4 linked regions of the Notamacropus eugenii genome follow. The protein of the gene in region 1 purifies or fractionates together with the protein of each later gene. This does not show direct contact. Links are inferred from orthologs where the notes say so. Each region holds a gene or a part of one and is shown on either strand. Other genes may lie near its edges.

Evidence for each region.
Region 2: the proteins of FGF11 (region 1) and AHCYL1 purify together in Homo sapiens (affinity purification with mass spectrometry; 3 studies listed by BioGRID and IntAct, with this or other methods). This does not show direct contact. The link is inferred for Notamacropus eugenii from reciprocal best matches to the Homo sapiens genes FGF11 and AHCYL1.
Region 3: the proteins of FGF11 (region 1) and UBE2O purify together in Homo sapiens (affinity purification with mass spectrometry; 3 studies listed by BioGRID and IntAct, with this or other methods). This does not show direct contact. The link is inferred for Notamacropus eugenii from reciprocal best matches to the Homo sapiens genes FGF11 and UBE2O.
Region 4: the proteins of FGF11 (region 1) and SIRT1 purify together in Homo sapiens (affinity purification with mass spectrometry; 3 studies listed by BioGRID and IntAct, with this or other methods). This does not show direct contact. The link is inferred for Notamacropus eugenii from reciprocal best matches to the Homo sapiens genes FGF11 and SIRT1.

The regions. Positions count from the first base shown.
Region 1 is NC_092873.1:78,544,731-78,552,436, reverse strand, and holds the start of FGF11 (fibroblast growth factor 11), read left to right. Parts: upstream 1-4,697; 5' UTR 4,698-6,301; coding exon 6,302-6,494; intron 6,495-7,706. Other genes in the region: TMEM102 (transmembrane protein 102), read left to right, coding at 2,292-2,518, 2,629-3,938.
Region 2 is NC_092873.1:288,330,859-288,338,090, reverse strand, and holds the start of AHCYL1 (S-adenosylhomocysteine hydrolase-like protein 1), read right to left. Parts: upstream 3,183-7,232; 5' UTR 2,973-3,182; coding exon 2,841-2,972; intron 2,258-2,840; exon of another isoform or gene 2,235-2,257; intron 1-2,234. UniProt on the Homo sapiens protein: Multifaceted cellular regulator which coordinates several essential cellular functions including regulation of epithelial HCO3(-) and fluid secretion, mRNA processing and DNA replication.
Region 3 is NC_092873.1:342,947,030-342,954,341, reverse strand, and holds the start of UBE2O ((E3-independent) E2 ubiquitin-conjugating enzyme), read left to right. Parts: upstream 1-4,126; 5' UTR 4,127-4,147; coding exon 4,148-4,483; intron 4,484-7,312. UniProt on the Homo sapiens protein: E2/E3 hybrid ubiquitin-protein ligase that displays both E2 and E3 ligase activities and mediates monoubiquitination of target proteins. Negatively regulates TRAF6-mediated NF-kappa-B activation independently of its E2 activity.
Region 4 is NC_092872.1:261,064,387-261,071,710, reverse strand, and holds the start of SIRT1 (NAD-dependent protein deacetylase sirtuin-1), read left to right. Parts: upstream 1-4,227; 5' UTR 4,228-4,308; coding exon 4,309-4,675; intron 4,676-7,311; coding exon 7,312-7,324. UniProt on the Homo sapiens protein: NAD-dependent protein deacetylase that links transcriptional regulation directly to intracellular energetics and participates in the coordination of several separated cellular functions such as cell cycle, response to DNA damage, metabolism, apoptosis and autophagy.

The sequences.
Region 1 (7,706 bases):
TGGTTCAAGGATTGGACTTGGGCAATAATAGTTTCTGTCACTTTAACTAAGTCTCCAGTGGAATACCCCAGGGAACCATGCTTGGTCATGTTCTGTTTTACATTTTTATCAGTTCCTTTGATAGATGGCATGCTTACCAAGTTTGTAGATGATACAGATCTAAGAGTATTACATACTAAATGATAGAAAAGGCTCTTGATAGACTTGAGCCTTGGGTTCAGTTTAATATAGTGATAAATATAAAGTCTTACATTTGAATTCAATCAACCAACTTCATAATACAAGCAGTTTGTCAGGAAAAATTTGGTGGATATGAGATTTAGTGGACTGTAAGATCCCTCATTGTAGGGTGTGGGGACTCTTGTGGATTGTAAGTGGATTGATAAACTAGCCCCCCAAAATCCTGTGATCTTGGGATTCATTAAAACATAGCTTCCAGGAATAAAGGAAGGCTAGTCCCTCTGTATTCTGTCTTGGTCAGGCACACAAATGGCCTATTGTGTTCAGTTCTGTTTGCTCCAGTTTAAGAAGGACATTGATGAGCTACAGGGAATTACAGGCAATTAGAGGTGGCACAGAGCACAAGAATTGTAGTCAAGACAAGCATGATTTGAAATACAGCTGCAAACGCTTATTAGCTGTGTGACCCAGGCCAAATCACTTAACCTCTGTCTCCCTCAGTTTTCTCACCTGCAAAATGAGGTTACAAATAGCTACCTCCCAAATTGTAAAAATAACCTACCTCCCAGGGTTGTGGTGAGGATAAAATGTAAAAGCGTAAATAAAGTACTTTGTGAACCTAAAAGCACTATATAGATTATATTATTATAATAAGTTTATTATTATCATAATGGTCCAGAGGAGGTCAAGCAAGATGGTGAAGGATATACTTGGAGCTCTTGATTAGCTGATCATGAGGAACTGTGGATGTTTTAACTTAGCAAGGACTTGATGACTGTCTCCAAGTATTTGAAGGTTATCATGTCAAAAGCAGATGACACTTTTTTGTTCGGCCCTGAAAGGCAGAATCAAGATCATAGATGGAAGTTTGAAAGTTAGACTTGATGTCAAAAACACGTTGTGTTAAGTCATTTCAGACTCCTTGTGACCCCTTTTTAGCAGAGATACTGGAGTGGTTTGCCATTTCTCCAGCTCATTTTTACAGATGAGGAAGCCGAAGCAAACAGGGCTCAGTGACTTTGCCCACCATCACACGTGTCTGTGGCTGGATTTGAACTGCAATCTCCCTGACTCGGGGCGCCACCGAACTGCCCCGCCCCATGAATTCGAGCTGTCTAAAAGGGAACTGGACTATTTGGACTACTTCTTCATAAGCATAATCTTTAAGATTACCACTTGTCTAGTAGTTGTACAGTGAGGTTAGAGTTGGACTTGACGGCTGCTATAAAATTCAGTTTATCTGTCTAGGACGCTCCACCCATACCCTGACTAGACAGTAGAGCGCAGCAGAGGACCAGTTGGCTTGGAAAGACCACTCCCAGACACGGCTTGGGGACACGGAAAATAACTATATTTTCTAGCATGCACCCCTTGCCTCCCTCCCAAGTGAATTCTGAACACTATATTTACTGGAAAGAGCTGAGAGAATGGGAGGGAGGGACGGTGAGAGAGGGCTCAGCTCCCAGGACAATTCAGAAACGTCTCTGAAACCTGGAGCTAGGGAAAAGGAACCAAGGCATGGGGTGGGGCCAGAACTTTGCCAGTTAGAGCCTGGGCAGAGAGGGGTGTAGCCTCAGGTAAAAGGGGCGGGTCCTGGTGGAGAGAAGGAAGTTACCCGTAGGATTTTCTCCGAAGCTTTCTCCCGTTTTCTTTTCACTCCCTGCGGTCGCCTGAGGTCCTTGGCCATCATCCCCCGACCCCACCCCCAAATTACAGGTAAGGGAAGGGAACTCTTGGGGCTTCTGGCACTCAGAACTAGGGATGAGACTAGACTGCAGAGTCCGGGGCTGAACTTGGGGTGGGGGTGGGAGGAGACAGCTTTTTTTTTTAAAGCACCTGTCAGGTCTAACTGGTACTTAGAAGACTAGGGAGTTCGCATGTTGGGGGAGGGGGTAGTCTGGGGACACACCTGGAGGGCAGGGGTGGACACCGGAGAATATTTGTGCATTTTCCACTTAAATGAACAAGAACTCCGTAGCCTCCCAGGGCGTAGGCGCCTCTAGAACACAAGGTAGGTTGAGGTGCAGAGGAAAGAAGGAGTGTGTGGACTCGGCCCGAGTTACCAGAATGACTTGAGCCCCATTTTCCCTTTCTCCCCGCCGCGTCCTTAGCTTCAGTCCCCATATGGCTTCCGCAGTCTGGGGGGGCACCCCCTGGTGGGGTCCGCCACCCCCAGCCCCTGCCCGTCCCCTCACGGACCTTGACTTCTGCTCCGGAGCGCAGCTGCAGGAGCTGACTCAACTGATCCAAGAGCTCGGGGTTCAGGAGAGCTGGCACGGGGGGCCGAAGCCCGGGAAAGATCTCCTCCGGGCTAAGGACTTTGTCTTCTCTCTGCTCAGTAAGTGTGTCACCTGTGGTCCCTCCTGTCCTTTCTCCAGCGCCCCCGCTCGAGTTCTCAGGCCTGCCCCGTAGAGAGCCCCTCGACTGACCCCCTCCCCTTATCCTCAGGTCTCATCCACCGACGGGACCCCCGGCTTCCTGAGCAAACAGAGCTCCTGCTCCTCCGCGGTGGAGTCCGCGAGGGCTCTCTCGATCTGGGGCCTGGACCCCTGGGCCCCTACGTCAGGGGGCCCCACTACGACGCCGGCTTCACGCTCCTGGTGCCCTTGCTCCGGCTGGACTGCGACGGGGTAAGGCCTGACCTCGAGCTGGAATCTGGCAACGTATGGCTCCGCCTCCCAGCGCGAGTGGGCGGGGCCTCGGCCCTGGAGGCTTGGTGCGACTGCCTAGGGCCCTCCGCCCCGGCCGGGCTGGAGGGGAAGCGGGCGGTAAAAGAGGCGTGCCCATTGGAGAAGCCTCCGTGTGACGTCACCGGGCCCGAGACTGCGGCGGCGTCCGCGCGGGTGCTAGAAGACGCCGACCCCAAGTCGCCACAGCCTACGGAAGAGGAGCGCGGCGACTTGAGGGATTCGGGAGAGCTCGGCTTATTGAAGGAACCGCACAGTGACGTCACAGAGCAACTCCCCGGACAGCCAGTCCCGGAGCCTGAGGGGCGGGGCCCTCAGGAAAACTGGCCCTCTTTGTGCCCCACCCAAGTGGCTGCCTGGTTTTATTCCTCGCTAGCTGCTGTATCTGTCTCCTTGACCCCGGACCCCGGTGCGGTGCGCCTGATCCATGCCGCCCGCCACGCCGGAGTCACTACCATTCTTCTGTGCACCCCGGGCCCTCCCCCCCGGGTCTTGCTCTTTGACTTGGTGCCAGGGGTCTCCGTGGCCGGCTGGCCCGATAGAACCCGGACCCACGCCTGGATGGGTCCCGTGGCCGCTGGGCCTACCGCCTGCTACCTCGTGCCGGGCTACAGAGCCAAAAAGGAGGATGGGCTCTGCTGGCGGATTTGCTTTGCCCGCCAGGAGCTGGCTCTCAAGGCCCGCATCCCCCAACCTCTGCTTCAGGCACACGCCGCCGCCCAGGCTGTGCTACGCCCCCTGGTGGCCGGGGCCGGCTGCGCCGCTCCCTACCTCCTGCGAACCCTGCTCTACTGGGCCTGCGAGCGACTCCCGGCCCTGTATTTGGGGCGACCCGAGAACGCCGGGGCTTGTTGCCTCGGGCTGCTGGACGAGTTAAGCCGCGGGCTCGAGGCTGGGGCACTGCCTGACTACTTCCTGGAAGGGCGGGAGCTGGTGGCCGGGGAGGGGGCCACGGAGCTGGCCGGGTCTCTGGCCCGACTCCGGGGGGACCCTGTAGGGGCTCTGCGAACTGCCGTGGAGGAGGCCAAGAAGGCGCGGAAAGGGGGCGGGGTGGTGGGCGGGGGTCATTAAAATATTTACAGCTCGATGGGTGGGCGGGGGGCATTAAAATATTTACAGCTGGATGGAGACAAGAATTTTTTTTTTCCAACCTCCTTCATGCCCGTCTCTCCCAATCAGTGACATAACTCTTTCTGGGAGACCTAGCCCTCGAACTTTCTGTGGCTGCTGCCTGTCTCGGTCTTGACCCTGAAAAAAACCTTAAGCCTGTGCTCAGCACTGCCACCCTTGGCCCAAAATGAACGCATCTCCCATCAAGAACCCTGACCCCCTCATCCCTTCCTAGCCTATTTTTGCCCTCTCGCGACCCCTTTTGAAATTTCTCTTATGTATGACCCTAGGTGGGAGCCGAGTGGAAAGGTGAAGGGGAGATGCTGACATAGCATGATAGGATGATAAAATGGGGCCTGGCCAATTTGGTCAGATTGGAAATATTAGAGAAAACAGTTACCACTTTTTGGTAGTGGATCCCCTCCCCATTTCTGACATCCCCCCCCAAAAGCTACTCTATTCAGTCCTCTTTTTCTCATGCATTTTCCAGACGTTTTTCCCCCAGACTCAAGCTCTGCACCTCCTTCCCCCTTCTGGGAGTCATGGCTCGCCTCCCACAACCAGCTTGTTTGTTCGTTCCCAACATCCCTAGCCACTTCCATTTCCAGGTCCTCTAACAGATCCAGGAGTCCCTTTCCACCGTCCTCTTTTTGATGCTGTCTCCGCCCCCTGCCCCGCCCTCGGACAGGGTTCTTGGGCTGAGGTGGGGGAGCAGGACGCGAGTTTGCGGCTGCTGCTACGGCTGCCGTTACTGCTTCTGCTGCCTGGGCTTGCTTTCCAGTCAGTCCTGCTACTGAGGCCTGGAACGCCGCCATCGGGGGACTGGGGACGCCCTGTGAACCCACCCCTATTTCCCTGGGGGGGGAGGGATAGACAGCATCGAGGTGGACCGTGCGGGGAACCCTCTGCTAACAGGGGGACAGTGAGGGAGGAGAATATGAGAGCCTGAGCCATCCATCACTGCCGGCAGCAGGATCAACAGGACAGGTTTGGGGGGTCTCAGGAAAGAAAGTGGGGTGCAAACAATCGCTTAGGAACGTGGGTGGGGACCCTGGGGAGCACAGAATTGCCTGGGGGGAAGTACAGGAGGTAGGTTAATTTGGGGAGTCCCAGGAAGAAAGTGGGGTGCAACACTTTGGAGTAGCTAGCTGGAGGTCAAATAGCTGGAAGACTGCATCAAGACTGACTCCCCAATAACATTTTGTGGGATATCCAGAGTGAAGTTAAAGAATCACTATTTTGGGGTGACAGGATGTAAGAAGGGACCTTCTGTTCCCACTGCACCTTGATAACCCCCAAGTTGCTGGAGCTGGAAGGGCATATTTGGAAGAGCCAGGGAAGTAGAGGTAAGGATAAGTTTAGAGGATACCTGGTCACCAGAAACTAGGGCCTCTAGTGATTTAAGAAGGTAGAGAGTGTTGACTTGCTGAAAGGGGGAGGCATAAGCCAAGTTTATGGTTGATTTGGAAAGAAACTCAGGACCCTAGCAAATGGAACCTCCGAGAAGTTCTGGGCTATAGGTTTTGAGAGTGATGGGAAGAGGTAGATATATTCTAGTCTGGGGACTAAAGGGTGGCAAAGAAGACCCCAATTATCTTTAACTTCCTCACAGCTGCTGCACCAAGTGTTGCTGCGATGGGTGATTTGGAGATGTTGTAGCCCTGTTTCCTTCTCACCCCTTCTAGATTTCTTGAGCTGACAGGGAGGAGTTGTGAGATTCATTTCTGTCATCTTTCATAGTGAGTTAAGGTCTACAAAGTCTGGTCATCGGGGATTATATGGAGAGGTGCAGAAAAACGGGATCCTCGGTGTTACATCGATTTAGGGCCAGGACAGTGAAGGAAAGGAGAGAAAATTTGGGGCTGAGAGGAAGGGGAACCCAGAGAATTGAAGACAAGAGCTGGGGATTCACAAAGCTTGAACCAAGTAAGAGTTCAAGGATTCCCATTAAGTTTAGGGGTCACAGGGGGAGAGGGCAGTTGAAGGGACCCTTTTGAAGTACTTGGGGGGAGGGCTCTTTGAGGTACTACTTAACAGCAAAGAATCCAGGAACGCAGAGAGAATAAACTTGGGGGTACCAAGAGAAGGGATTGGAGAGTGCCTTCCCGGAGAAAGGAAAGGTTTTAGCTTTCATCCTTGAACTGCCAGTTTGGAGTTTTTCTGTTGGGGGGGCATTCTGGGAGCCAGATTGAGATTGAGGATTGTGTTCTATTGGGGTGCCTCCATACAATTTGAGTTGTATACCTCCATTGTGAGAGTGGCGGAGTTAAGGGACATCGTAGGAAGATTGGACTGTCCCCTAAAGGGAGGGAAGGTGGTTGGAGATGGCGGCGCTGGCCAGCAGCCTGATCAGGCAGAAGAGAGAGGTACGAGACCCTGGGACAAGCCGACCGGTGTCAGCCCAACGGCGAGTGTGCCCGAGGGGTACTAAGTCCTTGTGTCAGAAGCAGATACTGATTCTGCTCTCCAAGGTCCGTCTGTGTGGGGGGCGACGGGCGCGGCCGGACAGGGCCCCGGGTGAGTGATAACAGTTGGGGTTTGGGGTTTCTGAGTAGGTTGAGGTGGGAGCTAAACTAAAGGAGAAATCTCAGGGATGGAAAACCGAATACCCGGGTCCCCAAGGAGAGTAGCGGGACGAAGAGGGCCAGAGAGAAAATACTTTAGAGGGCTGAGTTGAGGGTTGGATAAAATAGAAGAAAACTCCTTAATGAGAGTTGGGCAATGGGGAGGCTAGAAGTTCAGATACTCTCCCCTTCTGCTGCTCCCCAGTTTCCTTTCTCTTCCCGCATAACCCTGAGCCTCCTTCTCTTCTAAAGCTAGGGAAAATGTGAGGGGTTTTAACAGAGCTTAACTAACCCCCGCCCCTCTCAGGAACCCAAGCATCCTGTTTCCCTACCCACCCCCTCCCGGCAGTGCCAGACTACGTGCGTTTCTTCCTGTCCTTCTGCTGATTTGCTTCAAGCCCCGAACTGAGACTAACCGAGGACTCGGAACGCCTGGGTCACACAACCTAGTTTCTTCTATTCTGCGACGCCCTTTTCTCTTTCCCCTCAGTTTAGCTGGTCACCCCATCCCCATTCTTCTGCTCTTCTGTTCCCCACACGCGAGCTTGGGTCTTTCTCGTTTAACCTCACCTGGCTCTGAGACAACCTTCCTAACTCTCCCTAGGGTGTCCTTGCAGATCAGCCCCTCCCCCACCCCTACCTCCCTGCTTCCTCCCCCGCACCCCACTCTGCTCTCCCTGCCCGATCCCAGAACTCTACTGTGTCCTCCCTCTTTCCCCTCCTTCGCACCCAGGGGATGGAACAAGGAATGTCCTCTGGATTTCCTCCCCAATTCTTTTCACACCCCCAAGTTCTACTTCCTCTAAGAACACAAAGCCCTGGCACCCGCTGGACTGGCTGCCCCTTCCCACAGGAACCCAGGCGTTGAGAACAGATTCTGGGGGACTAGGGGAATAAGGAGGCGGAGGGGGGGTGGGGGGGAAGTAGGGGGACGGGGACGGGAAAGACTGACTGGGACTGTACCACCCGCAGAAGGGCAGGGGGTACTACACTAAATTCCCTTTGGGTGAGAGAAAGGGGTGACAAAGAGACCTTCATGTTTCAAAAAGGGGCACTGTCCCTGTCCTCCTTTCCCCACTTTTTCCAAATTGATTTGGAAGTGAGAGTCTCAATAATCCCCCACCCCAAGTTCTCATTGAACGATTCCTCTCCTCACCCCCTCTGC
Region 2 (7,232 bases), about 210 Mb from region 1:
GAGTTCAGGAGAGATCAGATACTGTATGTTGGAGAGTTATCTAAGAAGAGATGACAATTAAACCCTTGTGAATTGATGAGATCATCAAGGGAGAAAGTGTAAAGTGAGAGGAGTTCCCAGGACAAAATCTTAAGGGGAGCACAAGGTAGATGATGAATCAGCAAAGATGCAGAGGAAAAAAATCAAAGGAAATGAAGATGGTGGGGAGGTTGGGCGGGGGGGGGTGGAAACCCAATGCTACATACAGACACATTTGAGAGCCTTTGCATTGAGGTTCTTAGCCATTTTGTGCCTATTTCCTCATCTGAGGTCACTAAAGTCAATGATATTATCAAAGAAGAGAATAAAAATCAGAATCAAGGGCAGACTCTTGGGAGGAACATTCACCTTGTGGGTACTGGAGTCAGGAAGAGGACAGCAACCATTGAGACAAGAAAGGTGTCAGAACCAGGAGAGCCTGGTATTTCTGAAGTCAAAGAACAAGAAAGTTACACAGTAAAAAGTTAGTAATCGGCTGTGGCAAATGCCAAAAAAAGTCAAGGACTGAAAACAGGCCATTAGATTTGGTAATTAATTTTATTATATCGCTTGTGTTATTCTAGTTTTTCCAAAGAGAAGGAAATCAAGTTATTCAAACATGGCAGGGGTACAAAAGTAACTTGGACAGAGGTTGATGTAAAACTGAGAAGCTCTTAACACCAGGGCTCTGCTGGACTTGGTATGTGACCTTGAACCAGTCCTTAACTGCTCCATTAACAAAATGAATGCTCCTGGTTATCACTAGGGGGAAGAATAATTAGTCGTCATAAAGCACTCAGTGTTAAATAGTTGCATAAAAGCTGAATAATAAAACTCAGAAAGGGCAAAGTTAATGAGAACCATAAGGACACGTTTACAAGTAAATGAAAACCCACCACATCTCTGGTAGAGATTGAGTAGCCTTTTGCTAATGAGTCTGAAATCAGGAACACTTAGCTTGGATCACTAGGTTAAGTGTATTAGCACCCAGTCCTTTCAGGCAGAGAGAATGACTCTCAGTAAATATACTAGTAAGTTACAAGTACAAGTAGCCCAGGTGAACTTTCAGGCAACTGAGATTTCCAGGGTGCCTATCAGGTTAAAGGGCAACAGCACCTAACTCTGTGACAGCTATTCAAAGGGCCTACTGGGGAAGAACAAGGTTCTAGGAAGTTGGGATACCAGGGGAGGCATTGTTGCCAGGCTGCCAGCACTGCATTGTGCTGGGATCCAGAGGGCCTGCGCTCTAGCCTCAGACCCACCATTAAGTAACTGGATGACTTTTCCCAAGTTTCCTCCTCTGCAAAGTGAGGGGGTTGAACTAGATGATCTCTAAGTTCTCTTCTGGCTTTATTATAATTCTAAGGTACCTCCACAGCTTTACCACTGACTCATCTCAATGCTTTAACTAAAAATAAATATTCTATTTGTAAAGGGACAGTCACTCCAATGAATAAAATAGAATACAAAGGGTTACAACCCCACAGAACAAGATTAGGCTTCCAGAGAGCACAAAGAACAACTCCCTCAATCCTTTTTAAAGAAAACATAGGCTTTCCTCGAGTAAGACCTTATTGGAGAACAGATATAGCACACACAATGAAGGCTTTGTGCTTCTTAATTCAGTTTCTGAATTGTAAAACAGAATTCCTCCAAAAAACAAAATGGGAAGGCTCGCTCCTTTGCACAGGATCAGGTGCAAAAGCTTCAGAGGGTACTATCTAGTCTTCCTGCAAGCCCTGCTTTGCTGAGCTTATGCAAGTACTGCAGCCCGGGGATGGTTTTAAAAACAGAGAGCCCTGAAATATTTTTGTCTTTAAAAGGGAGCTGAAAGCACTGACTTAGGTTCCATCAGCCTCAGAAAGTCACCTCTCTTCTGCGCAACTTCTTTTATTTTGAGGTCAGGGTTGAGTGGAAAGTCAAACCACAACTGGCGGCTGCGCGCCTGCATTAGCCCCCCCAAATCCTCCTAGTCAGTGAGTTAACTGGCCTAAAAACCCATTGATCTCACCCGAGGGCCAAAAAACGAGCCAAAACGCAAAAACAAACAGATCAAATAAATAAATAACTATTCAACTTGTTCGGCCTCAATAAGTGCAACAAGGAATGATCAATCCATCATTCCTTACCGCCCACCCCTGCCACAAGCTCGGTCTTGGGGAGGCACACAGTGGGTCTCTCGGACCCCCGGGTCCATGGTAGTAGTGGTTACCAACCTCTAAAGGTTAATTCACAGTCAGAGGAGCTTGCAGAACACGGTCGGGGATGGTGGCTGGTCTCTTCACCATTACCTTCGCCAGCCGGGTGCAAGCGGTCTTCACTCTGGCTCGGGGTTACTGCGAGGGGCATCCCCCAGAAGGATTCCCAGGGTGCGCCGCCCAACCCTCCCCCTCCCCCAAAGCCACCCCAAGGGGGATGCCGGCCTGAATAGGGCGGTCAGCTCTGCCGCCGCCAGGGCCGGGGTGGACACGGTGAAGGGGGAGGCTGTCCAGGGGCCGGACCCTCTCCCCTCCCCGCCCAGCCCAGCCCGCCCCCCATCCCGGGTCCGGGAGCCCCCGGGCCAGGGAGCAGCGGAAAGTCAGGTACGACTGTGGAACCCGACTCGGAGGCCTCGGAGCTGATCGCCGCGGGCCAGGGCAGGGAAGGGACAAAGCCCGCGAAGCGACAAAGGGCAGCCAGCGAGCGCGGCCCGGGCCGGCCGAGCGGCGGGCGGCCCGCACACGTCAGCGCCGGGGGCCCTGGCTGCGTCACCCCGAGCTCCCCCGGCTCCGGGCCCGGCCCACCCGCGGCGCGCTCCCCTCCGGGCCCGCCCGCCCCCGCACCTTCTTGGGCGCCTTGGTGACGGTGGCCATGAACGAGTACTTCTCGGCGTCCTCCTTCTCCTTGGCCTGCTTCAGCTCCTCGCCGACCCCGACCCCGGCCACGGGCAGCGGCATCGCATCCGGCACCGACATGCCGCCCGCCGGCCCGCGATCCCCCCTCACAGCTCACACCGCCCCCGGCCCTCGGGCCTGCCCGCACGCCGGGCCGCCCAAAGCGGCCGCCCCCGCGGGACTAGGCGGACACCGGAGCCCTGGGCTCGGCGAAGCGGACGCTGAGGTGGCGGAGCCGGCACCCAGTTCGCTCCGCGGCGCCTGGCCAGCCACAGAAGCGGCGCGCTACTCTCGGCCCGCGCCGCCTCCGCCGCACGCTCGCGCGCCGCACGCAACTACGCACGGTCAGGGCAGAGGCCGCCGGGGGGCGCGTCAAGGACTGGCAGCCCTGGGGAGCCGGCGCCGAAGGGAAGGGCGGGGAAAGCCTCCGGGCAGCGAGTGACGACAACACGCACGCGCCCGACGCTAGAAACCGCTCCCCGGCTCCTCCTCCTCCTCCCCTCCCCCAGGCGGCAGTTGGGGCACTCAAAGGGGAAGAGTGAACCGATCCTGGAGAGGCACCAGGTGGCGCGCTGAGCCCTCGCAGAAGCACCTCGCCCCCGGGGCGGGGGGAGGGGGGGGCGGAGTTACAGCGCACGTGTCTGAAAGTCCTGCCGGCAGAGGAGCGCTAAGCGTGGTGTGGGGAGCCGGGGATTGCTCTCCGTGCTAGGGAACCCAACCAGTCTCAGAAAGTCAGTCAACCAACCCGCATTTACAGGTCGTCCACTGTGTGCTAGACGCCATGAAAAGACAAAACAGCCCTGCCCTCAAGGGGCTTCCAGGCTTTGAAGGAGCCAGCGCTTTAGCATCTAATTATATAAAATGTATCAAGTATAGAAGTAAAAATGCAAGGTCCCAGAGGGGAAGAGGAGGCACGGGGAGCTGGAGAAAGATCCTGCTTTCGGCCCCCTCCGCTTTAGAGAGCTCAGACCAAGGGGTCGCTGCTTCGGCCCCAGCCGGTGGCCCTCTGTCTCATGGGCAGTGCCTGCCTCTCCCCATTTCTTAGCCGTATTTCTCCACGGTCCTCCCGCCCATGCCTGTTGACAACTGGAGGCTGAGCTGACTTTTTCTGCAGCCCACTGGGAAAGGGTCTGAAGGACCAGGAAGGGTGGGGAGTGGAGGAGAAAGTCACCGCCTTGGATGAGCCTTGGACTGGGTGCCCCACCCTAGCACGAGGCACGGTCAGCCTCCTCCGGTCTGGTCCCGTCTGCTCTGTGGGCGCAGAGTGCACTCATACGGTGCCTGGTGAAGTCATCCACAAATAACTTACAGGGGACCCGAAGGACCTGGGTCCTAAGACCTAGAGAAGCTCCAGCATCACTTCTGCTCTTCTGAATCCTACCTGTCCAATGGGAGAGAAAGAACACATCTGCCTAAATACCCAGGGACCGCTGCCCTGGATAAGGAGATCATAGTGTGTGCTCTACTTGACTTAACTGGATGGTGAAGGTTTCTATTTGGGTGGGAAGTTGTACCCATAAGAACCAGCCATTATATTCTCTAACTTTCTAACCTCAAGACTTCTTTACACTGTCAAAAATTAGCCCAAAGAGCTTTTATATGGGTTGTAGCTATCAATATTTATTGTGTTAGAAATGAAAATATTTAATTAAAAAAGAAGAGCTTTATATGGGTTATATTGATTGATATTTACTGCGTTCAAAATTAAAACATTCTAGTGTTCTTATGAAACTAATTTGGACCTCAAAGACCCACTGAGTCTCAGGGACCCCTCTGCTATCCCCAGGCCATACTTTGAGAATAGCTGGTTTAAAGTAACTTGAGAGTAGTTGGGGTTAAATGAGTTTCTTCATATAAGGTGATTGAAAAGAGAGATGGCTATGAGGGTAAGGGAACCTAGGTTCAAATCTCTTCTCTGCTGTGTATCAGCATGCAGAGTCAGTGTGGCTTAGTAGGTAGAAAACAGGCTTCAGAGTCTGGAAACCCTGAGTTCAAGTTCTACCTTTGTCACATTCTGGGTGTAAGACTTTGGGCAAATCATTTAACCTTTCAATGTTCAAAGCAACTTTCAAAAACTGTAAGTTTCAGGTGCCAGTCTACATTGATAAAAGATCAAGGACACGTTAAAAAAGGATTAAATCACTTAATCTCCTTGGCCGCAGATTCCTCATGTATAAAATGAGGGGTTGACTAAGGTCTTTCTGTATCTATGATACAATTTTATATGCTTAAATTATACCCTGAGACCAACTCCCATAACTCTCAGCCACAGAGGGTAGTTGACTATAATCCCCCTCAAAGTTCTAAGGATAACTATAAGAAGTTGAGTTTCTAGCACTAGACTGTTAACTATGAGCCCCTACCAGTGTGGTTTCTGTTGGTAATTAGCCAGTATCCTCAATTAACTTTTTAGAAAAGGTATTTACTTATATGACATTGTAAGAACAGTTGGTACTAAAATCCCTCTAAAATGGGGTGAGGGTGAGAGTGGGACATTCTATCACTTTGTAAGCACAAGGTCTCTTGGGCAGAATAGATTCCAACTCAGAGAGCAAGTGAGACATATGCATAGGAAATACATATAGTGAAAAAATACCGCATAACTCTTGGCCACTGGAAATTCTTTCTTTCTATTGTGTAGTACTCATGCAATTCGCTGCAGGGAATGGCATCGGTAATGGACAAATCTTATCTGCTGGGCTAACTCCTCAAAGAGAGAAAGGCATTGCTGTTAGGTTGAGTCAGTCTGTTCTTAGGCCATTCCTCTGCTGGGTCAGGTCACTTTTCAATTGCTGCCTACAGTCTCTCCCCAGATTCTGTTTAGATGCTGGGAAACAAGAAAATACCAGCTGTTACCCTAAGACCTCTCCAGATTGTAGAAAGTTTACAAAATTACTAAGTATGTCCATCTCAAGGTTGCTGCTTGATTATTTCCCAACTCTTATGGCTCTAGTGGACACAGCTGCTGACTATGGCCACTGGTAAGAGCTTGTGATAGAAGTTCAGGATTACTCGACCTTGGGTGAAAGGGAAAAACACTTGCCCCAAAATGATTCTCTTTCAGAAACTTGGATGAAGTTCCTTTGCTCATAAATGGGCCTGCTATTGGAATTGTTGATTCCAAATTGTCTTGAAGTCTTATACGTAGGCCCAGAGGTGTGTCCAATATTTTGGACAATCAAAAGGTATTTCCCATCTTTATCTAATATCAAAGCAAATCATTTTCCTTCTGTTAAATCAATTAAAGACTTGTTCACATCTGGTATATACTTTTGATTGATTGAATCAATGAGTTACTCTGGCCTTTTTGGGGTTACATTAGTTGGGGTTAGACATACTTACAATTACATGATTATCATGTGACTCTTTTACTCAAAAATTGTCAGTGATATGTATTACCTATATAATAAATCATTTATCTTGGCATTCAAGGTTTTACATATTCTGATTCAAACTTCCTTTTTCCAACCTTTTTTCCATACTAATTACCTTCACATATACATTCTAGCCAAACTGAACTATCCTCTGTTTGGTCTTACTTCCCAAGTCTTTGCTTAATATGCCCACATTATTCTCCATCTGTAGAATCAACCTCCTCCTTCCTCCCTCCTCCCACCAACTTTTTAATTAGGAGACTCAGGTTATCATGTGGGCTTGGATACTTGCCAGTTGAGTTACCCTGGGTGAATCACTTCATCTCCATGAGTGCTTGTTTCCTCCTTTATTAACACAGAATGCTGTTTGAATCTTAAAGTGCTATATAAATTTGAGTTATTATTATTATCTCTGTCTATTAAAGTTTCTCCCATCCTTCCAGCCTTAACTCATCCAGGATGCCTTATTTACTGCCACACTTAGATGAAAGTAGTATCTCCTTCCTCAGATTTCCTATGGTACTTTCTTTGAATAACTTTACACTTGTAACCCATGGACCAGTATCTCTAACTCTGAGCTTACAGAGAGTAGGCTCAACCTTGGGAGCTACTCTACCAAAGCATGAAGTGGGAAGAATGCTGGATTTATAGTCAGAGGTACTGGTCAAATCTTGACTTGACCAATTTCTTACCTGTATGACTTTAGGCAAGTTCTTTAACCTCTCTTGGGCCTTACTTTCCTCAACTTTACAATGAAGAAGTGGGACAACTTGTGGTGAAAGCATATAGCCTGGAGTCAGGAAGACCTGAGTTCAAATCCAGTCTCAGACACTTACTAGACATCTGTGAACTAAATGGACAAGTCACTTAACCTCTGTTTGCCTCAGTTTTTCCAAATGTAAAATGGGGATAATAATAGTAGCTACCCAGAAGGGTTGTTATGAGGATCGAGTGAGGTAAAACTTGT
Region 3 (7,312 bases), about 260 Mb from region 1:
CTATGATTGAAATACTAGGCAAAAAATGAACTGCCACTGTCTGAACTGGGGTTCCTCTCAGTTCAAGACAAGATTTTTGGGAAATAGTACAGTATGCCACCTTTACTAGAAATTCCACTTTCAGAGCTGGTAAATGGTTCAGATTAGTCTTTACATAATTGGTAGGCAGTCTCTTTTGCAAAGTCAGCTGAGGTCCATCAATTCTCTCCACCTGCTTATCAGAAAATCTCACTAACTTTTTTATGGTAAAAAAATGTTGGTGGTGGATTGTCTTTATGAGGCTCTCCCTACTCCCTGGGGCTTTTCTGTAAAATAGGCAAGTTGCCCAGTTTCTCAATAACTTTATATGGGTTAGCTTTCCATCAGTCTGGTAACTTGTGTGCCTCTTATCCACCAAAGTTTACTTTTAAAAATATATTTTTTAAAAGTTTAAAGTAAAATTGACACCTTTTGTTTTTACATCACCCATATTTCCCACTGTATTCCCTCCCCATTCCCTCTAAAAGGACCATCCCCTGTAACTAAGAAAAAGGTTCAGCAAAACTAAACAACACATCAAACAAGTGTATGCAGTATCCCACAACTATGATCTCCATTGCAAAAAAAAAAAAAGTAGGAAGCAAACATTTCAAATTTTATAAAAGAATTTTGCCTCCTAGTTTGAGGACTTGAAAATTTATGCATCATTTTGGTCAGCTCTTCTGAAGTGAAGTCATGGCTAATTGGTAGACTTATTTCAGCTCCTTTTTTTAGCTAAGAGATGTATTTGCATTATCTCTATCCTCAGAAAACCTAAAGGACAAGTCAATAGATTAGCACAGCTCTTGACCACACATAAGCAATACAGGATAAAACCTGGGACATCACTCCTAAGGTAGTTATATCTGCACTAGAAATGTCACATGCTACCATCACTGAAATTTCTTGTTTTAGTCTTAAAAGTTTTTAATATGTTAAAAAGCACAAAGTGGTAGGGTTGAGGCCACGGGTCTCCTTGTGGATTGTGATATATAGCTCTAGACTTCCTGATATTTGACAATGCTACATTTCCTTGAAAGCTTGTTTTGGTCATAATGGATCCTGGCAGAAAATCGCATCAGTCAGTCAACAAACATTTATTAAGTGCTTACTACATACCAGGTACCATACTTACTAATCACTGGAGATACAATGGTAAAAACATTGCTCCTACCTTCAATGGCTTAGCATCTGTGAATACTTTCTGGTTCCTGGTTGGGTACACTTGTGTATACTTGGCAAAATGATTAGTCATCATTAAGATATGATTCATCTTTAATCTTCACTATTACCTATGCTTGGGGTCTTAGTTGGACAGGTGGGGTAATAATAGCACCTACTACACAGGATTATGAAGATCAAATGAGATTATATATAAAGTGCATTGCAAACCTTAAAGCAGTATATTTTGGTTATTATTTTTATTATTGGTTTACATGTTGCCTTAAAATTAGTCTCTGCCTGTTTTGGCAGGTTGTTTATCTGACATATGTGTATATGTTAATTTCCTCTTTAGAATATGTTTCTTCAAAGCAGGGAATGTTTCAATTTTATCTTTCTACCCACAATACCTAGCTAAGTGTCTGGCACACAGTAAGCACTTAATAAATGTTTGTTGATTAAATGACTGATTCTACTCTAAGATCCCTTCTAGCTCTAAGTTTATGATTTTATAATAATAATAGTTACCATTTCTATAGTGCTTTAAGGTTTGCAAAGCGTTGTATAGTCAAAGCTAGGATTTTTCCAGTAGTAATGTGTGGCTCTGAGAGTTGGACTGTAAGAAAAGCTGAGCACCGAAAAATCAATGCTTTCAAATTATGGTGCTAGAGAAGGCTTCTGAGAGTCTCTTGGACAACAAAGAGATCAAATTAGCCAATACTTAAAGAAATTAATTCAGAGTACTCAATGGAAGGACAAATACTGAAGATGAAGCTTAAATACTTTGATCATATAACGTGAAGACCGGACTTTTTGGAAAAGACCCTGATGTCAGGAGAGAATGAAGGCAAAAGGAGAAGGGAATGGCAGAGGATAACATAGATGGACAGTGTCATGGAAGTAATGAACATGAGCTAAGATAGACTTTGGAAGACAGCAGAGTTTAGAAGGCCCTGGAGTGCGATCCATGGGGTCACATAGAGTTGGACACGACTGAACAATAACGATTACATACATTATCTCATTTGATTCTCACAACAAACCCTGTGCTATTCCTGTTCTCATTTTACAGACGAGGAAATGGAAGCTGAGAGAAATGAAAGGATTTGCCTTATGGTCACATGGTTAGTATCTGAGGTAGTAATTTAAATTCAGGGGTTCTAGACTCCATGTCCAGCACTCTAATAATAACAGCTAGCAATTCTATGCTACATTTGGATTTGCTAATACATACATACACACCCCTCATCTGAGATTTGAACCTCATCACAAACTGTGTGAACTAAGTGCTTTTTTTGACTCTATTTGAACCTCAAAACAAATCCTGTGAATGTCATTACTCCTGTTTTTACATATGAGGAAACTGAGGTGGAGAGAGGTTAAGAGACTTGCCCCAAGGTTACCCAGCTAGCTGGATTTATACTAGGTCTTCTTGACTCCAACTCCAAAACTTTAATAATAATAGTAATAGATAGCAATTTATAGCACTTTAGGATTTGTAAATATATATGATACATATATACATACCTACATGCATACATATACACACACACATATATACACACAGAGACACATATATACATACACACATATACACATATACACACACACACATATATACACACACACATATACATATACACACATATACATACATACATACATATACACACATATACATACACACATACATATACACACATACACACATACACACACACACATACACGCACACATATACATGCACACATATACATGCACACATATACATGCACACATACACATATATACACACATATACATACACACATACACATACACACATACATATACACACATACACACATATATACACACATATACATACACACATACACACATATACACACATATACATACACACATACACACATATATACACACATATACATACACACATATATACACACATATACATACACACACATACATACACATATATACACACATATATACACACATATACATACACACATACACACATATATACACACATATACATACACACATATATACACACATATACATACACACATACACATATATACACACATATATACACACATATACATACACACATACACATACACACATATACACACATATACATACACACATACACATATATACACACATATACATACACACATATATACACACATATATACACATATACATACACACATATATACACACATATACATACACACATACATACACACACATATATACACACATACACACATATATACACACACATACATATACACACATACACACATACATACACACACATATATACCTCCTCATTTGAACCTCACAACAAGCCCCGCCAGGTAAGCGCTGGGACAGTCACTCCCATGTTACACATGAGCAGGCTGAGGCCGAGGCGGTTACCCGACCTGTCCCAGGCCCACCCAGGCGGGCAGCACCTGAGGCCGGCTCCGTACTGGGACCTTCCCGACTCCCACCAGCACACCAGTAAGACCGCGGGCATTCCCAGAGCGCACAAAGGTTCGCCAAGCGCCTCGCCCACGTAAACTGCGCTCTCGGGAACACCTGCTCTCCTTCCGGACCTCACCTTTGCCCCACCCCTTCTTCTATCCGGCCCCCAAGTCCATTTCTTCCTTTCCCGAGTCTGAGCCCCGCCTCTTCCCTCGTGGATTCTTTCCCTTCTTCCGCGTCCATCCTCTCGGCTACCCCTAGCGAGAGCCGGCCTCGGCTCCTAGCAACCGCATCCTCCGTTCCCTGACAACGGCGGGCGGCGCGTCTTACGTCATCACGCCTCAGCCCCGCCCCGTAGCCTTACTCCCGCCCTCTAGCTCCGCCCCCTCCCCCGCGGTACTCCCCCCCCTGCTCCGCACCCCCTCCCCCCCAGTTTCCCTTAGTCCGGGCTGCCTGCGCCGCCTGAGACTCTTGCTGAGCAGTCATGGCGGATCCCGCAGCCCCCGCGCCCGTCGCTCCGGCCCCGGCGGGTGGGCCGCCGGTGTGCGGCCCCGGGCCGGTGGCCGCCGGCTCGCAGCGCCTTCTCTTCTCTCACGACCTGGTGTCGGGCCGTTACCGCGGCTCGGTGCGCTTCGGGCTGGTGCGCCTCATCCACGGCGAGGACTCGGACTCGGAGGGCGAGGAGGGCCGCGGCAGCTCCGGGGGCTCCGAGTCCGGCGGCCCGGGCAACGAGGAGAGCCGCGCCAGCCCCCTGCGCCGCGGCTACGTGCGCGTCCAGTGGTACCCGGAGGGCGTCAAGCAGCACGTGAAGGAGACCAAGGTGAGTGAGGGCCCCCAGCGGGCGGCGGGGGGAGAGGGCGGGAGGACGGAGGTAGCGGGGAGCCGGGGCCCCGGGGCCCGCGTGGTGGCCGAGCCTGCGAGGGAGCCCGGGGGCGGAGGCGGGAAGGGGGCCCCAGGGTGGGGACCGGCCGGGGCAGGTGCACTGGGCCCCGCGGCTCGACCCGGTGCTAAGTCATTGCAGCAGGGCTGAGGGCGAGCCCCGGGTGCGGAGCGCGGGGCAGGGCCCTCGGACTCCCGGACTCTCTGGGAGGTGGTTCTCCGGGCCTCCTCGCGCCTGCTCGGGCCCAGGGACTGAGGCGCCCGTCGGCACTTTGCAAGCTAGGGGCGGGGGTGGAGGGAGACATGGAGCCTGTTCCCGGAGTGCTGAACGCCGACCCCCCGGGGAGCGACACGGGCTGCATTGTGCGCGGCCCAGAAGCCATCCAGAAAGGAGAGGCCCTGCCTTGTCAGTGTAGGCGTCAGGGAGGCTTGGCTGGGAAGTTCCGTGGGGAAAATACGTATATTATATGTGAAATATGTGTGTATTTTTCTTTATTGCGAAGGAATTTGCTTTGCTCTTATTTTATCCCGAGTACCTTTACATAGTTGCTAATGGGGAACTTTGTGAAGGCAAGTCAGATGCTTTGCAGTCCTGAGTAATGGTATGTGTAGTACAGTATTCATGATAACCAAGGCTTGGGGGAGAAACGTTGAGAGCCGAAGAGGGGGTGGTGGTGCTCTTTATAGGAACTGAGGGAATGATGACATTTCAGCATTTGGAAGTGCCTTTGAAAAGGCTGAAATGGGAGCTATCTAGGGGGGAAAAGTTGCTTGTGCATGTTCAGATAGGCGGTGAAAATAAGTGATTACTCAAAAAAGTCAATCTTAAGCATATTTGGACTTCTTGGAAAAAACGCTTTAGGAACCAACCTACTGACTGCTGCAAATCCACTAATTTGGAGTGGGACTTAAAGGGATTTTCTTGCTCCCAGGTTGTAACGGAACATCACTCTTCCATATGGCTGTCTGCATTGGAGCTGGGGGAAATGGATTGATAAATGCTTTGGAAACAAAGGGTTTGGCAGCCTGTAAACTAGGACCAAACATATTTTGTTAGTTTGTGGCTGTTTCCCAAAACGTGGATTGATATCGGTGACACACAAGCACACCCTTGTTTACCGTCTGTGTCCTCTACCCTTCCCTGCCTCTTTCCCTCCCCCCACACCCCCACGATTTTCTTTGCTTGGATAAGGCCTGAAATGTTTCAGCCATCTGGGTCATTGCTATTGGAAGATCTGGTTTTTAGGGAGTGGGCACATGAGAAGTTAGTCCTTTGCTAGATTGGATGCCTCACATGGGGAGACAAAGGAGACTGAGAAATGGAACGTCTTGGCTCATTATGAAGGGGGGGTCTTTGGATGAAGATGTCACTCAGGGAGAGAGGCCCCATCACAGGAAGAGACTGTAATCCATTTTCTAGTGGCAGAAGTGATTGCAGATTCCAGCTGGGTCTTCTACATAAATGCTCACATACACATTTAACCTCTCTCTATTCCCCACCACCCCCAAATGAAACTTGAGTAGTAGCAGTTTCATTCTTAAAATTCATTTGATAATTTGGTTGGAAAATGCTGCTTTTTGCAGTAGGATGTTATGTTAATAAGCACTCATCGTTATTATTTATGTCCTCAGGAAGTGGATGTTTATTGTTCATTGCATATGTCTCAAGTGCGTGGGGATTCTGGTGCCTTTTTATGGGCTTTTGAAAAATGTATTTTTTTCCCCTACCTTCCCTTTTTGTATGTTATAACTTAAATTTTGACTCCTTGCAGCTAGGCTTCTTAATCTTGAGACAATAGAGGAGCTAGTTCCTGATTTCCAGGCTCAAACTCTCTCCTTGGCCTTTTCAGTTCCTGGCTATTGCCATGTTTAAAAGTTGTTTCTGTCTTGGCTTCAGGAGTTACCTTTGTTTACAATTTTGGTTTTATCTGCCTTTTCTGTTTCCCTCCACTCCAGTCCAGTGACTTATACTTTGAATTATCTACTAGTTTTGAAGTCATCATAAAAAAATTACCATATGGTTCCTGCATGGACAAATTCTGAATATAATTCTGAATTAGTTAAAATGTGGTTAGGCTAACTGATTAACCGTGTTAAAACAGCGCTTTTTTAATTTGCTATCATATTCTCGTTTTTGTGTTCCTATCCTTCCAATCAAGGCATATCAAAAGAATGCTTAGAATGTTGTGAATTGTAGCATGATGGACTCATGGAAATAGTTTTGATGAATTTTAGATTTTTGAACATGACAAACAGGGGGCCCATTAAAGATTAATTTTTATATTTAATCAACTTTAACTTATTAAAAATAAATATATCCAAACAGCAACTAAAAATTCTTTGTTACTTGTGCCTGGCATATATTACATACTGAATAAATATTTGTATTTCTGTCTATTCTGATCTTCATGATTGTACCAAATATGTTTTATGCAGATATAAGTAGTATATATGCAATATTTCAAGTAATGTGTTTTTTCTGTATATTTCTTCATATTGATCTTTTTTATATTTACTCATAATTCTTACATTTGCCATTTTTTTTTTCTGGCAACGTAATGGCCCTTTGCATTAATGCACCGCAGTTTGCTTACCCATTTCCCAACCCCATTGTGCATTTGGGTTTTTTCCAGTTGTTTTTTTATTATTATTATATATAGCACAACTGTAAGGGGAGTGGGAATGTAGAGATCAGAGGAATTTAAAATGGCTACTAAATCATGAATAGTATCAGTGGCTCCTTTTAAAATAATCGGGCTTAATGTTTGGT
Region 4 (7,324 bases), on another chromosome or scaffold:
TTGTCTTAGGAAGATCCTGAAGCTCACCTGGCAAGATAAGGTACTGGACACTGGGGTCCTTTCTCAAGCTAATCTGCCAAGCATTGAAATGCTACTGAAGAGAGTGCAACTCTGACTGACTGGCCGCGTTGTTCAAACGCCAAACGTACATTTGCCTAAAAGATTGTTTTATGGAGAACTCATGCAAGGCAAGGGCTCACACGGTGGTCAGGAGAAGTGATACAAGGACACTTTCAAGGTCTCTCTGGCAAAGGATGGCCTAGAATGGCATACCTGCATCAAAGAAGGTGCTGTGCTCTATGAAGGAAAGAGAATTGCAGTAACTGAAAAGAAAAGAAAAATGAGAAGTATGAGTTTAGAGATACCTCTACTCCAAATGTTCATATGAACTCTTTGTGCCCAACCTATGGTAAAGCCTTCCTAGCTTACATCAATCTGATCAGTCACAGTCAGATATACTTAACCCCAACAAAGTGATGATATTTTGGTCATTTTTGATTAAGTTGCTTGGTTGTTGTCCTTCATTCTCAAAGAGGACCATTACAGTGTGTCTGACTGTGGCTGACGAGACAAATACAAGCTGAGAATGCTCCACTGCAGGTCAGGCACAAACAGTTCATGTGAACATTTGGGGGTGTATCCTAATTTGTATATCCTGCATTTCCTTTGAGCTGTCTCAACTGTGCTTCGCTCACAGAGCACAGCACCTTCTCTGATGTGGGCACCCCATGCTGAGCGGTTCAGTGCCAGTGTCTCCCATGTCGCATAAAGGACAACAAGCAACCAATAAAGGCTTCGTCAATATCAATACCATTGGTATTCCTCAATTCCAGGCTGCTCAGCTCCTTTTAATTCCACTGCCTAGTTAAGTACTCTGCATATAGTACCCATTTAATGTCTGTTAAATTAAGATGAATTGAAAGGAAGAAAGTATAGGACTTTATAATAGACAGAGAATGAGAAAAAGGAGAGGAAAGATTCAAAGATGATTCCAAAGTGCTGTGTTGGAGAAAATGGTAGGAGTACCAAACTAATAAAACTGGGAATGTTGGGAATGTGGCCACATTAGGAAGGACAACAATGACTCTATGGTTGGAGTTTGAAGGGACCTTGGAACCCATCTAGTCCAATCGATTCATTTTACACAGGAAGAAACTGAAGCCCAAGAAGACAAAATGACTTACCAAGGGTCCCCCAATGGTACAGCAAAGTCTAATAGTGAGTTTCAGGTGACAGCTGGAAGTGGAGGCCTAGTTTAAAGGTCCAGGTCCTTGGTCAGGGTTGGGAAGAGACATTTATGATCCATCACCATGGAAGTAGTGAAGGTGAGGTACCAAAGAATGTGATGAATAAAAGAGTGGGAGAAGGAAGCAAGTAGGTAAGAAAGGAAGAGAAAGAAAGAAGGCTTACAAGAAAGTAGGTAAGAAAGGTCAAGAATCAAATCTTGGGAGATAGCTACAATTATGGGACAGGAAGAAGGAAAGGAAAGAAGTCATCAGGCAGCAGGAGAAGAATGAAGAAACAACATTTTGCTTTAATTTATCTCTAATCCTTTAACTTTTGAGAAAACAAAATACTATCCCTCCCATTTCTGGGAGTTAAATCTTCATTGGGCGGCTTGGTGGTGCAATAGAGAGAGTGCCAGCCTGGTATTCTAGACTCCTAATTCAAATATGGCCTCAGACACTTAACAAGCTGTATTACCCTAGGCAAGTCACTTAACCTCAGATTCCTTATCTGTAAAGTGGAGAAAAGAATAGCTACCTCCCAGGGCTATTGTGAGGATCAAATAACATGAAAATTGTAAAGCATTTAGCACAGCACCTGGTGTATAATAAATGTGAGCTATTATTAGTCAGTCATATAATTCAACAATTTCATGTAAATAAGCTTTAATCCTGAGCAAGACCCATCTTTTTCCTTAGATTTAAGCAAAATTAGAAACTCTGGATTTCTACTTAAACTTGAACTGATTGAGAGTGAAGTGGCTATTGGCATGAGTTGGGAGATTGATTTGCCCAGGAACTACATCACTGTTTCTTGTTCTTACAAAAATCTCAGTATTAGAATTCAGAAACCTCCTGTAAAACTGATGGCTTGTTATTTACAATAACTGTAATTATTTTATTTTTACATAAATATTTACTTAAATATTATACATAAATATTATTTTATACATATTATATTTATATGTTACTATTATTTTAAGATGCTAGGATCATAGATTTAGGGATAATAGAAGGGACCTTTGAGGTCATTTAATACAACTACCTCATTTTGCAGAGGAGGAAACTGAGGTCCAGAGAGCTAAGATTACCTGTCCCAGGTCACAAATGTAGTAAGTGCCAGAGGCAGGATTAAAACCTAGCTCTTCTGATCCCAAATCTGGCCACTTTTCCATTGCCCCATGCTATAACCCAATTCACCTTTCTGGGTCTCTGCTTCCTCCTCTGTAAAATGAAGGGGTCCATTTAGATGAGGGGGTTCTGACCCTCTGTGTCATAGAGACAAGTTCATGGACCTCTTGAAATGGAACCATGACCCCCAGTAAAGAACTCTTCTTTTCAGGCCCTAAAATCTTCCCCATTATTTAAATCCTCTGGTTTTTTGCAAAAGTACTTTTTTTCAAGGAAATATGCTTAATCAAATATACAAAGAAACAAGGAAATCTAGGGTCACAATTGAATACAGTATTTATACCATATTGTCCTTTTTCAAATTTCAAAAATCAAGATTTCATCCACCTTGGTTTTCTCCCCACTGCCGCAGAAAGCAATGAGAAGATCCCAGATTTAGAGCTGGAAGGGATCTCAGGACTCACGTACTCCAACCTTCTCATCTGACAGAGAGTAGGGAAAGTCAAACGATCTGATGGTCATGAAAACATTCAGTGACCAGGTCCTCTGCCTCCCAATCCAAGACTCTTCATTCTCTCTCAGCACACTGAAGGAGAAGGCATTGAGTTACTAGGACCAAAAAAATCATCTCCTGGTGGTGGGCAGGCTCCTGGGGATCATCGTTTAAGCTAGGCTATTCCTCAGTGGTACTTGGGGCGCCTTGAGCTTGGCAGGACCTGTAGAACACCTGTATGTCCGCAGCCCTCACCCGAGGACAGCACTCCACACCAGGTGCCTGGACCTGCTCTTTCCAGCCTGTCTTCTGATCCGTCCTTCCCAGGACCACCACAGGTCTTTTGTACAGCAGACATACAGGGTCTCCTCCTCCTCCTCCACTCTGCCCAGCCTCCTCTCCAAAGCACCCTGCCCTCTCATTTCACCAAGGGGTCTCCTTGGCAGGACTGTCGTCCTTTCGCTGTTCCATTCTCGCCCGCTCTGCAGCGCTCAGCGCACGCAGCAACTCCTCCTGGAAGTCCTCCTCGCTTGCCCTTCTCTAATGCATAGATTGGGTGATTCCTTGGCACTCGGTAGTTGCGATTATTGGTCTTTGTATCGCGCCCTCCTCTGAGATCTGCAGCTCCCGGAAGGCCGGGGGGAGGTCTTTATCTTGGAATTGTGCGCGGCGCTTAGACTCGCGTGTCCCAGCTCCAGGAGCCCAGGAAGCCTCTTCCCCCGGGAGCGGGGCGGGGGTGCACCCCAGTCTTTGCCGCGGCAGCCCCGATCCCTGCGCACTGCGCAGCTCCGGCGCCGGCGGGCTCTGGGGCGCCTTGGGCCGGGTCCCTCTGCCTTATGGCCCGGCCCCTGGAGCAGAGCCCTTCCAGGACGGGGCAGTTCAGGGATGCGCGTAGTAGGAGCGCAGGGAGGGGGCAGAAATGACTTTTTCTTTCTTTTTCCACTTAGGGTCGGACACGTCCCTTCGGAGAAATAAGACCAAACTTGCGCGCGCGCCAGAGATGGGAGAAGGGGGTGGGGGTGGGGACCTGGGGAGGAGGAGAGCGGGGCGGACGGCGCGAGCCAGGCACACGCCGGGCGGGTCCGGACCAGCGCGCGCGCGCCCGCGGGCCGGCCCGAAGCCGGAGCCCCGCCCCGTCCGCCCCTTCTCCGCCCCCCCCCCCCCGCGCGCCCTTGCGCCGGGCCACGTGACCCATTTTGTTGTGGTCCCGGCCCGCGTGGGTGTCAGTGGTGGTCAGGCCGAGGGGGGGAGGGGCCGGGAGGGGCGGGGCGGGGCCGGGCGGCGCGGGTCACGTGACTGGGGTTTAAATCTCCCGCAGCCGGCGCGGCGGGGGCGCCAGAGCTGCTGCTGCGCGTCTGCTGAGCGGGTGGGCGGGGGCCGGCGGCGGAGCGCGGGCGGCGGAGGCGGCGCCGAGGCCAGGCCCAGGCCCAGGCCCAGGCGGGCGGGAGGCGGTTGAAGATGGCGGACGAGGCGGCGCTCGCCCTGGAGCCCGGCGCGGGCGGCGCAGGTCCCGCGGAGCCCGGCGGGGAGCCGCTCAGCAAGCGGCAGCGCAGGGACGGCCCGGGCCCGGGCCCGGGGGCGGAGCGGGCCGGCGGGGCGGGGAGCCCAGGCCTGGAGGCGGCGGCTGCCCCTTTCGGGGAGGCCGCGGCCGCCCCCGGCGGGGACAATGGACCGGGCCCTCGGGGCCTGCGGGGCCTGCCCCGGGAGCCTCCGCCACTGCCGGACGACGACGACGACGACGACGACGAGGACGACGACGAGGAGGAGGAGGAGGAAGAGGGGGGCGAGGACGAGGACGAGGCGGCGGCGGCGATTGGCTACCGAGGTGCGCAGGGTCCGGGCGGCCGCGACTGCGCACCGCCCCCCGGGGCCGCCCGAGCGGGGAGGGCCGAGGAGGCGGGGGCCGGGCTCTCACCGCCGGGCCAGGCCGGGCGGCGGGAGGCCCCAAGGTCCACCCCGGGCCCGTGACCTCGGCGTCGGGACTGGCTGGGCTCCTCCCCCTCTCCCGCGCTCAGTGCGGCGAGGTCACTCCTGGTCATCCCCCGCTGCGTTCCCCTCCCTTGGCCTCCTCTGCAGGACCTCCGGTGTTCGGGGCCCCTCCCGCCTACCCCTCTACTAACCTGATCACCTCTTGTGCAGAGGCTGGCTTTTCCGCAGCCCCGGGCTGCTTGACGAGGGGTGGGTTCGGATAGCCACCCTCCGCTCCTGCCTGTTTGTTTCTAGTCCTCGTTTTTCAGGGGCTCAAGTTTTATTACCATTATTAATATTTTGGACTCTGCATGTTCAGGAAGCCGGCGTAGCGAATTCTTGCTGTAGATGAAGGTAGACTGGTGGGCAAGGTAAATTGATGTCTCCTAGTTTGGAGGTGACCCCGGGCTCTCCACGTTGGTGCCAAGAGGATCCTAAGCGCCGGCTGGTTGTGTCAGACTGAAAAGGCTTCGTTGTCCCAGCGGACCTGCTTAGGTTGTTGGGAGAAGCCTCCCCCTGAATGGGCTGCAGAGCCATGAATATGGCCACAGCAACTCCCCTACAAAGGGGGTGGAATCCGAGGAGCGAGGGAGTACTCACACCAAGGAACAGATTCTTGAAGTTTAAGAAATATGGGCAAGATCACTGAATGCCAACTTTAACTTAACCTGAAAAACTCCTTTCCCCGCTCTAATCTTATTCTTGCATAGCATCTTCAGCTCGTTACTAGTCTAGCGTTTGGTAAACCAAAAAACACTTTAAAAAAATTTTGAGTGATCCTTATTGTTAGGTGTTCTTTTGGGGAGAGTAGAGGGAAAAGGAATAGTTTAGTTTGTGATAAGTCAATTCACATACAGCCTTTTACTTCTATTGACGTGAAGCTGTTGGCATCATTTAGCATCAGGTTGTTGGCATCAAGTCATTTGATGCTGCTGTCTTTTGAACTTTTGAAGCTGTGTGACTCTGGGCAAATTACTTAAACTGTTTGCCTCAATTTCCTCAACTGTAAAATGGGAATAATAAGTAGCACCTACCTCCCAGAGTTGTGTGGATTAAGTTAGATAATTGTAATAAAGTGCTTAGCACAGTGCTAGGTGCTTAGTGAATGCTATATAAATGTTAGCTATTATTATGAAGGCTTTCTAGATATAATATATATACATATATATACACACACACACATATATATGGAAGACTTTCCAGATGAAGGAAGCAAGTATGTGAATTAACTATTATTTGGTTTACATTTACTTGAAAGCCACTACTTGTAGTCCAAAGAACTCATGTTTGATAGGCAGTCCTGTTTTATAAATTATCAGTGTATTTTTTCCTTTTTGCACTATCTTAGATTCTGTAGTTAGATTGTTAATCTCTGGGAATCTAGAATCATTTCAATGAAAACACGGTGACACTGAATTACTTAACTAATTTAAAATATAGTAAATAATTGGTCTGAAGTCCTTTCACTATGTTTCATTGTTCTGAGGAGATGACCCTGGGTGCCCAGAGACCAGTGGAGGCCAAGCTGGGAGGGTTTGTGTGTGTGTTTGGTTTTTTTTACAGGTGAGGCACTGAACCAGTCTTGCAGCTAAGAACCAGTAAGGAGTTTAGTCCCCAGGTCATTAATGATTTTTAGCTACTAACTTAAGAAACTCTCTGTTTGTTGGAGCTACAGTCTGCCTTGGGAGAGAGTGAAAATACGTATGAGATTACTCTTTTAGAAGTCGTTTGTATTTACTTAGCTTCAAATTTTGCCCCCCTGTACCCATTAGAATGTAAGGGATTGAAGATAGGGACTGGTTTTTTGGTCTGCATGTTTCCAGTGTCTATAACAATGGCTTGCAAATAGACATTTAATAAATAATTTGAAATATTAATTGAACTAGGGAAGATGAAGGAAATAAGCATTTATATAGTGCCTATTGTATACCAAGCATTTTTTACAGTTATCATTTGATCCTCACTACAACCCTAGGAGGTAGGTGCTATTATCTTCATTTTACAGATGAGAAAACTGAGGCAAACAGGTTAAGTGCCTTGTCCAGGGTCACACAGCTTGTAATTGTCAGAGACTGGATTTGAACTCTGGTCTTTCTGACTTGAGTCCCACCACTCTAATATACTCCTCCACCAGCTGCTTCCAGTAAAAAAAATTTTGAGTTCATTTACTTTTGAATATCGTTATAATGGGTCCTTAATAAGATGTCACACTTCCTTTTTGGTCCTGTGATTTCTGGCTGCAGCCAGTTCTTATTGAGGAAACTTCCTTTGTAGATTGTTGGCTAACTTGTTCTCTTAGAGAGCTACCTTTGGCACTGAGAAGTGACCTACAGTCACAGAGCCAAATCTGTCAGACTGAACCCAAACCCAGGTCTTCTGGGCTTGGAGGCCATTTCTTTGGCCAGTATTCTATACCTTCCCTTTGGTCTGCCCCTTTTTAGAGATGTCATCTATTTCCTTTTCTAAGGCATTTTATTTCTCTCTGTTTTGCAGAAAATCTCTTCAG